Ovis aries: one gene and its partner. The protein of the gene in region 2 interacts with the protein of the main gene of each other region in a pairwise test. Links are inferred from orthologs where the notes say so. Each region holds a gene or a part of one and is shown on either strand. Other genes may lie near its edges.

Region 1 (3,744 bases), on a different chromosome or scaffold from region 2:
ACCCATCAGCTGGTGATGGCCCAATTCAATATAAGGAAACTTTTAGGGATAGAAAATGTAAGTGAGATCAGAACGTTTAGATAAACGGTTAAGAATGAATATGCTTTAGAAATCTCTAAAATAGTCTTTGCAATTTTGCTAACTTAAAATTCTGGAGTTGTATTAAATTGAGGAAAGTTTATTGAATAGCTGGTCATTCCCAAATAAGATACTGAAACATGAATTACTGAACAATGACTTCCTTTTACAGAGAAACTAAAGATATTTAAAACTATTAATGAATGTGTTTGGTGTCGCCCTGCGATGTTCTCAATCTGAAAGCTTTTTTTTTTTTTAGAAATTATCACTGGTATTTGTTACTAGTCTACAAAATACTAATGCAGAGGACATTAATTGCTTACTTCTTAGTTTTCACAGGAAATGAAGGTTTTAAGAGACGAGGATTATAATTTAAGTATGTGATTAAAGCTAACAGAAATAAAAAATTTTCAGCAAACAATAGGAAAGCAGGGTGTAAGTTATCAGTAAAGATGGCATGTGGAATGGAGTTGAATTTTATCGAGGGAAAAGGAAATCGGTCTGACTTAAAGCTGACTGTTTGATTGGAAAAAATAAAGTTGTTGTACAGAAAGTGGTGAACCGTTTGAGGAAAGCAGATCCCAAGAAAACAGCTTTGTGCATGATCAGGAGTGACGCGGGGCTTCCCTGGTGGTCAGCGGCAAAGAATGTGCCTGCCAATGAAGGACGCAGGAGGCACCGGATCGAGCAAAAATATTCCAGTCTCCTAATCTTGGTGAGCTTAAATCCGGCCTGTGGTGATTTCGTTGCTGTTCCTCCTTTGATTAGGAACTGTCTGACTCTTTGCGACCCCATGGACCGTATGTAGTCTGCCAGGCTCCTCTGTCCATAGGATTCTCCAGGCAAGAATACTGGGCTGGGCTGCCATTTCTTTCCCCAGGGGATCTTCCCGACTGAGGGATCGAACCCGGGACTCCCACTTTGCGGGCAGACGCTTTGCCGTCTGAGCCACCAGGGAAGCCAAAGAAACAAAAAGGGGACAAAAAGGCCTCCGCGCCCAGGAGTCCCATGGGGCGTTAGTCAGCATCCAAAAGTGTTTCCTCTGCTTTTGCGACTCTTTTCGTAGCCCTTGGGAATCACGAACGTTCGTCTAGTGTACTTCGGCTGTTACACACGTTCCCCATCACAGCCGTCTGCTGACAGCAAACTCCTGTTAACGGAAGCTCTCCGCCCGCCCCGTAGAGAGTCGCGCGCGGCGCGGGCTCTGAGCATGCGCAATAGCTTGGTCCCGCCGGGCCGCTGGCAAGCGCGCGCCCCGGCGTCTCCTCCCTCCCGCTTGACAACGGGAAGTCTGCGAACGTTAGGGCGCGTGCGCAGACGGACCGAGGCGACGGGAGGGGGGGTGGGGGTTGGGGGGACGCCTGCAGAGCGCATGGGCAGAGCCACCGTACGTCCGTTTGTCCGGATCGGAGGGGAGAGAGTGGGCGCCATCTTCTTCTGGGTTCGCTGAGGGCTCTCCCGGCTCTGGGGAGGCTGCTGCGGACGAGGAGAGCTCCCCGCCCCCAGCCTTGGGGTTCCGACTCGGCGGCAGCGGTGTGTGTTTGATCGCCCTAGTGCGAAGCAATTACCGCAGGGGCGTCGGGCGTGGGGAGGGCCTGGCGGCCGGGACCGAAGCACAGGGAAAGGCGGGGCCGCGCCAGCAGCGAGCGTAGCTTCTGCCGTCAGGGCACCCTCTTTTCCCCTGCTAAACGCACCCGACTTCCCGGCAGCCTTCATGTGGTGTTGTGCGTGCCCTTTTCAGTCGGCTTGAGAGAGTGGAGATCTGGAAGGATTCCATAGGTACTTGTTTTTCTTTGCTATGTCATCGTAGTCAGTGGTGGCAGGAAAAGCGCTTGGAGGCCTGGCTAGTTTTAGGCTTGAGGGGAGCCCAAGTGTTCAGGTGTAGGGACAGCTCACCCTTGGGCGAGTCGGGGCGGAATGTTTGCCCTTGAGCCGGTGTAACGGAAAGGCACGGAGGTTGGGTGGTCCAGGTTGATTTGAAGGCTGATTTGGCTGAAGGTCTGGCAAGAACATCGGATCCCACGTAGGAACTTTGGCCTGGAGCACAAGAAGGAAGCGCTGACCCCTGGGAGTCTGGACAAAGGCTTTTTGAGCTATAGAAGCAATGCCTTCGGATGATCCCCATTTGAGGAGGATGGATGTTAATGGGAATTCCGGTGCCGTGTGGATTCGCCTTCATTTCCAGTTTCTACTGGGGACCAGGCTCTGTCGTCATGGCTTTGGCTTTTTATTTTAATCATCTACGTTATAAAAGGATAAAAAGGCAAATCGTCATAAAGAACCCTTATGGAGTGGGGTAGATTATTTTCTGCAGGGTTCACTCTTGCATTTTAAATGTACTTCATCATAACTTTAGGTTTTAAGAAATAGCAGTTATCTCTCTCTCACCATGTCTGGAAAATGACTTGCTATTCTCTAGTTATGATAAATGGATCGGAGATAATACCATTTTAAGTTAGCTTTCCTTCCATTTCCCTCTAAGGCTTGATTAGAAAATAAGCATTTCGTGGGGTTTTTGTGATAATGATTAAGTGGGATGAATCGTTGGGTAAAATCAGCTAAGTTATTTAAAATGAGCTTGTTAATTTCAGCCACTTACACTTAAACGAGCTTTTAAGGATTCAGTTCCTTTTTTTGGGGAAAAAAAAGAAGTTGTAATAACTCACTCTTAATCAACACAGCTATAAACATGGTTTTGTTGCATTCGTAAGACGCATTTTAAGTGTTGAGTAGGGTTTTTTGCTTTTTGTGTAGTTCTAAGAATAGAATTTCTGGGGTATTTGCTTAGGAAAATCACGTGGAAACTACAGGAAAGTTGCTCATTTTGATATCTGGTTTCTTACAGGTGATCTCCTAAGTGTATTTCTGTAGAGGGATAAATAGTACATTACCCTTCTATTTCAAGGGCAAAACAGTTTAAGCAATAGTTATGTTTCGCTGTGGCAAATTAGAAGAAAAAAATTTTTTATATTTTTGAATTGGAATTCATGAATTTGTACTCATGAAACTACTTAGTTAAAATGTTTTCAAATTGGTAAATTATAAGACTTTTAAAAACTTGACAGTAATTATTTTGTGAAATGTTCTTGGCTATGTTTTTAAAAGTTTAGCAGGGATAAAATGTTTTACACTACTTGCCAAAAGTAACAGGAGCTAAGTCATTTTGCATAGGAAAGAGTCTTGGAATACTAATGTGAACAACTATTCCAGAAGCCATTTGTAGTTTTTATTAAAATGTTGGTGTGGGTTTGTTGAAGAAATTAAGCTTATACTCATTTTTGGGGTGTTTGGGGGGTACCATTGCAGATATTGTCCAATAGACTAAGTTTTAGAACTATTTTTTTTATGTTCACAGTAATATTGAGTGGAAAGTACAAAGATTTTTTATGTGTCCTATGTCTGCACCACCATTTTCATGCATTAATATTTTATAGTAAACCTCACTAATTGGAGAAGGTGATGGCACCCCACTCCAGTACTCTTTCCTGGAAAATCCCATGGTCAGAGGAGCCTGATAGGCTGCAGTCCATGGGGTCCTACTAGTCGGACACAACTGGGCGACTTCACTTCCACTTTTCACTGTCACGCATTGGAGAAGGAAATGGCAACCCACTCCAGTGTTCTTGCCTGGAGAATCCCAGGGATGGGGGAGCCTGCTGGCCTGCC
Region 2 (3,644 bases):
GTGGAGCCTTCACAGGCCGTGAGGAGGAGGAGGAGAACTGGGTAGGGTAGTGAGGAGGCTATTCTAGTGGCCCACATGGGGTTTTCCTGCTCATGAAGGGAAGTTGGTACGGACAGGGAGGGAATGTCACACAGGCAGACGGGGTGGGAGGGCTGCAACAGCAGTGAAGGAAGGAGGACTCAAGGCTCTGTGGTTGTGCCAGTGAGGAGATCCGGGGCTGCTGGCAAAAGAGAGCAGGTGGTAGGGAATGAGAATAAAACCTCAGAAAATCCCATGGAGAGCCTCCCCAGCCTGCAGGGTCTCCACATCACAGCAATATCTGGCAGCGGGCCTGGTGAGCATTTGGCCTTTGATCGGCATATGCAGAAGGGATGATCACCAGCAGAATGCGTGGAAGGAATGCTCTATTCCCTCCCACAGCCACCGCTGCAGCTCCCTGGCCAAACCAGCCTGTGCCACACTCCTCCCTTCCAGACTAGGAGATGACGGGGCCTGCCCCGGGGGCAGAGCAGTGCTGGGGGACAGGGCTGGGGGGAGAAGGGCTGAAAGGTGCCGAGGAAGTGGGGGGTAAGGGAGGGGCTGAGGGCCCTGGAGGGGACCCAGCCTGGCCTCCTGCTCTGCCGCCTGCCCGGGGACATGGGGAGCACGTACGTCATCCTCAGTGGCTGCCTGTGGCAGCATCCTCAGCATGACGATGTTACTGGCCTTCTCCTCCTCCTCCTCCTCCTCCTCCTCCTCCTCCTCCTCCCCTTGCTCGGTCCGATAGTCCTGGTCCCGATAGTCGCCGTCTCGGGGGAAGCCTGGCGGGCCGGTAGGGCTGTGCCTGTGCCGCCGCCGCCGCCTACGCTGAGTCTCGGAGCCCGGGGAGGCCTCGTAGGAATCCTGGCCAACAGAATGAGACGAGAGACACCAGGCGGGCAGTCAGTCTGAGGGTGGGCCTAGGGGCTGGCCGCTGGCTCTCCGAGGCAGGCAGGCTCTGAAAGCCAGGGGTGGGCGGGCTCCGGCTAAAGGCTCGGGGCAGGCAAGGTGGGCAGGCCCTAAACTGCAATCCTCCTGGGAGCTGAAATTCTCCCTCAGATGCTTTGCGGGGGCTGCTTTGATGGGGAGTTGGGGAGAAGCAGGGGGCAGTGTTGGTGTCGGGGAGGAACTCCCACAGACAGGTGAGCAGACGTCCCTGAGACGAGACTGTTGGAGGTTGGCACACTAAACCCTACACTCTTTCTGCCCCCTCCCCCCTCGCCAGCTCAGCTAGTACAAGCACAATTGTTCCCTGTGCCACAGAAGGCCACATGTCACTTAAGACTCCCAGCCTGGGCCCTGTCACCAAGTTGTGGGTTTAGGAATCGCTTAAGACCTCGGCCAGAGTCAGCCAGCAAGGGCTGGCAAAGATTGCGAGGACTACAGCACTGCCCCTCGGTCCCTGATCCACTGCCTGGCCAGTCCTCCGTCACCACCATGCTCCTTCCTAACAGGGTGTGGTCATGGGATTCCTGGGCATTGCCCAAACCCTTTGCTCAGCACTAAGCAAGGCAGGCCTGGGTCCATGCCCATCCTACCCTCACGGGGGCCGAAAACTCAACTCTCCACTCTTGCTGGTCCACCCAGGGCCCACCCGGTGCTCTGGACACATCCAGGCACAGCTCACAGTTGCCACCAAGGAAGCCTGACTGCCCACCATAGGGGTCTTTGTGCTGGACCCCCAGAGGGTGGCTGGCTGCCCATATTCTAATTCCCAGGGCTGGGGTTGCAAGGGTACCCTTCCCACTCCTCTGTACCTGTGTGGACCAGGGCCCTGAGTACCCCCTCAACCTGGGGTTCGCATAAGGCAAGGCTGCTTCATCTCAGATGGGGGCTCCCTGATGGTGGGCATTATGCCTTCCCCTCAGGCCAGGGCTAACTATCCAATATGGAAGTGGCTAGCTGGAGCTCAGAGGAGAGTCCTGAGGGGGCTTTCCTTTCTGTCTAGGGGCTCTGCCACCACTGGGAATGCCCACACTTAGCCTCCCAGAGCCACTCCGCTTGTTGATACCCACGTGACATCCAGGTACCCTCCTGACCCTAGATGCTGGGTCCCCAAACTGGCTGGGAGCAGGCAGTAGAGGGCTTGCAGTGAACCCTGAAGAACAGGGAAGAAGGGAGAGAGGTGGTGGCCAGGGGACCTCAGAAGTACAGAGCCAAGCATGTGGAGGTCAGGGAGACCCAACCTGGGAGAGGAGCCCTCAGAGAGGGGAGTGGGGACAGACCCTTCAGGTGAGGCAAAGCCCTTGAGCACAGTCTGAAGGCATGGGAATGGAGAGCTACTGCACGCGGGGCTGCAGCCAGATCAAGGCCCTGCAGGAGCCGGCCCCCCAGCCCTCACCTCTGCACTCTGCTCCTCGGACGAGTCATCATAGTCATGCTTGCCCTCCTGGCTGCCGTACTCGCGGGGATATGAGCGGTAGTCCATGTCTCTGTAGTCATGATCCCGGCTACGGTTTTCCCCGCTGTCATCCTGTGAACGATCGGTGGCTCCGTAACGGCCAGTCCTGTCTCCACGTCCCCCTCTGGGGAAAGAAGGACAGGAAGGGATGAAAGGACAGTCCTTTCCGAAAGAGGTCCTCAGCTCCACCCCCACAGGGATCCCTAAGGCCAACCCCTAATTCCCAGGCTGCCACCACCTCTCCCTCAAAGCCAGCCCACTTCTCTCCTTCCCTTCCCCACCTCTCCATTCCCTCACTGGGCCTTCAGGTGTAGCCCCCTGCCTGGTCTCCTCAGCTTCCACCCAGGCCTCCTCCAGTTCATTCTCTCCACCCTCAAAGCAAGTGAGTGTTTCATAAGGCAAAGCCAACCAAGCCCAACCACAATGCTCCTCCGATGGCTTCCTCTTATTCTCAAGACACCAAAATGCTCACCAAGATCCTACAAGGCCTGCAGGGTCCTGTGGGCTGAGGTCCCTGCCGACCTCTTTCCCTTCAGCTCCCTGGGCACTGCACCACTCTGCCCCTCTGTTTCATGGTCACCTTGCTAGCGCTGGCAGCTGTTTTGTTAAATTTCTCCTACTGAAATAACTAAAATAATTAGCTCAACACTGATTTAATGTGCATTTATTTGGTGATTGAGTCTGGGGAAGGGACCACGCCTATTTGGTTCACTGCTGTATTCCCCAAAGCTTAGCTTAGTGCCTAATACCCAGCAGGTGCCCAATAATTCTCTTTTGATAAAATAATGACTCTAAAGAGCACTAAGTCCTAACCACTGGACCAGCAGGGAACTCCCAGTATTCTAAATGCAACCAATACGTATCTACTTAAAACAAGAAAAACTGGACACCAACATAGACTACTAGCTAGACTACTACTAGCAGGATCGTAATCCTGGTTAGAAATGACACTAGAATGCCCATTATCAACACCATGATTATTATTCTAAGAAACTAGCTAGTAAACAATTAAACAAAGGAAAAAAGAGATTAAAAGCTGGAAAGGAGATGGTAAAATTACTATTACTTGTAGATGATATGAGGATGTATCTGCCTCTGCCTCAGCGAATCAATGGAAAAATCATTACAAATAAATCAGTCAAGATGCTGTGTTCAGAAATTAATATTCAGGAATAAATACCTTGCTGGTATTCAGAGAGCCACTGTTCAGAAATCAGAAGATTCC

The links.
Region 1: the proteins of RBM10 (region 2) and RBM12B interact in a two-hybrid assay, tested with the Homo sapiens proteins (3 studies listed by BioGRID). The link is inferred for Ovis aries from reciprocal best matches to the Homo sapiens genes RBM10 and RBM12B.

What each region holds. Positions count from the first base shown.
Region 1 is NC_056062.1:83,453,928-83,457,671, forward strand, and holds the start of RBM12B (RNA-binding protein 12B), read left to right. Parts: upstream 1-1,477; 5' UTR 1,478-1,611; exon of another isoform or gene 1,612-1,857; intron 1,858-2,274; exon of another isoform or gene 2,275-3,744.
Region 2 is NC_056080.1:57,646,373-57,650,016, forward strand, and holds part of RBM10 (RNA-binding protein 10), read right to left. Parts: intron 2,544-3,644; coding exon 2,360-2,543; intron 883-2,359; coding exon 652-882; intron 1-651. UniProt on the Homo sapiens protein: Binds to ssRNA containing the consensus sequence 5'-AGGUAA-3'. May be involved in post-transcriptional processing, most probably in mRNA splicing. Binds to RNA homopolymers, with a preference for poly(G) and poly(U) and little for poly(A).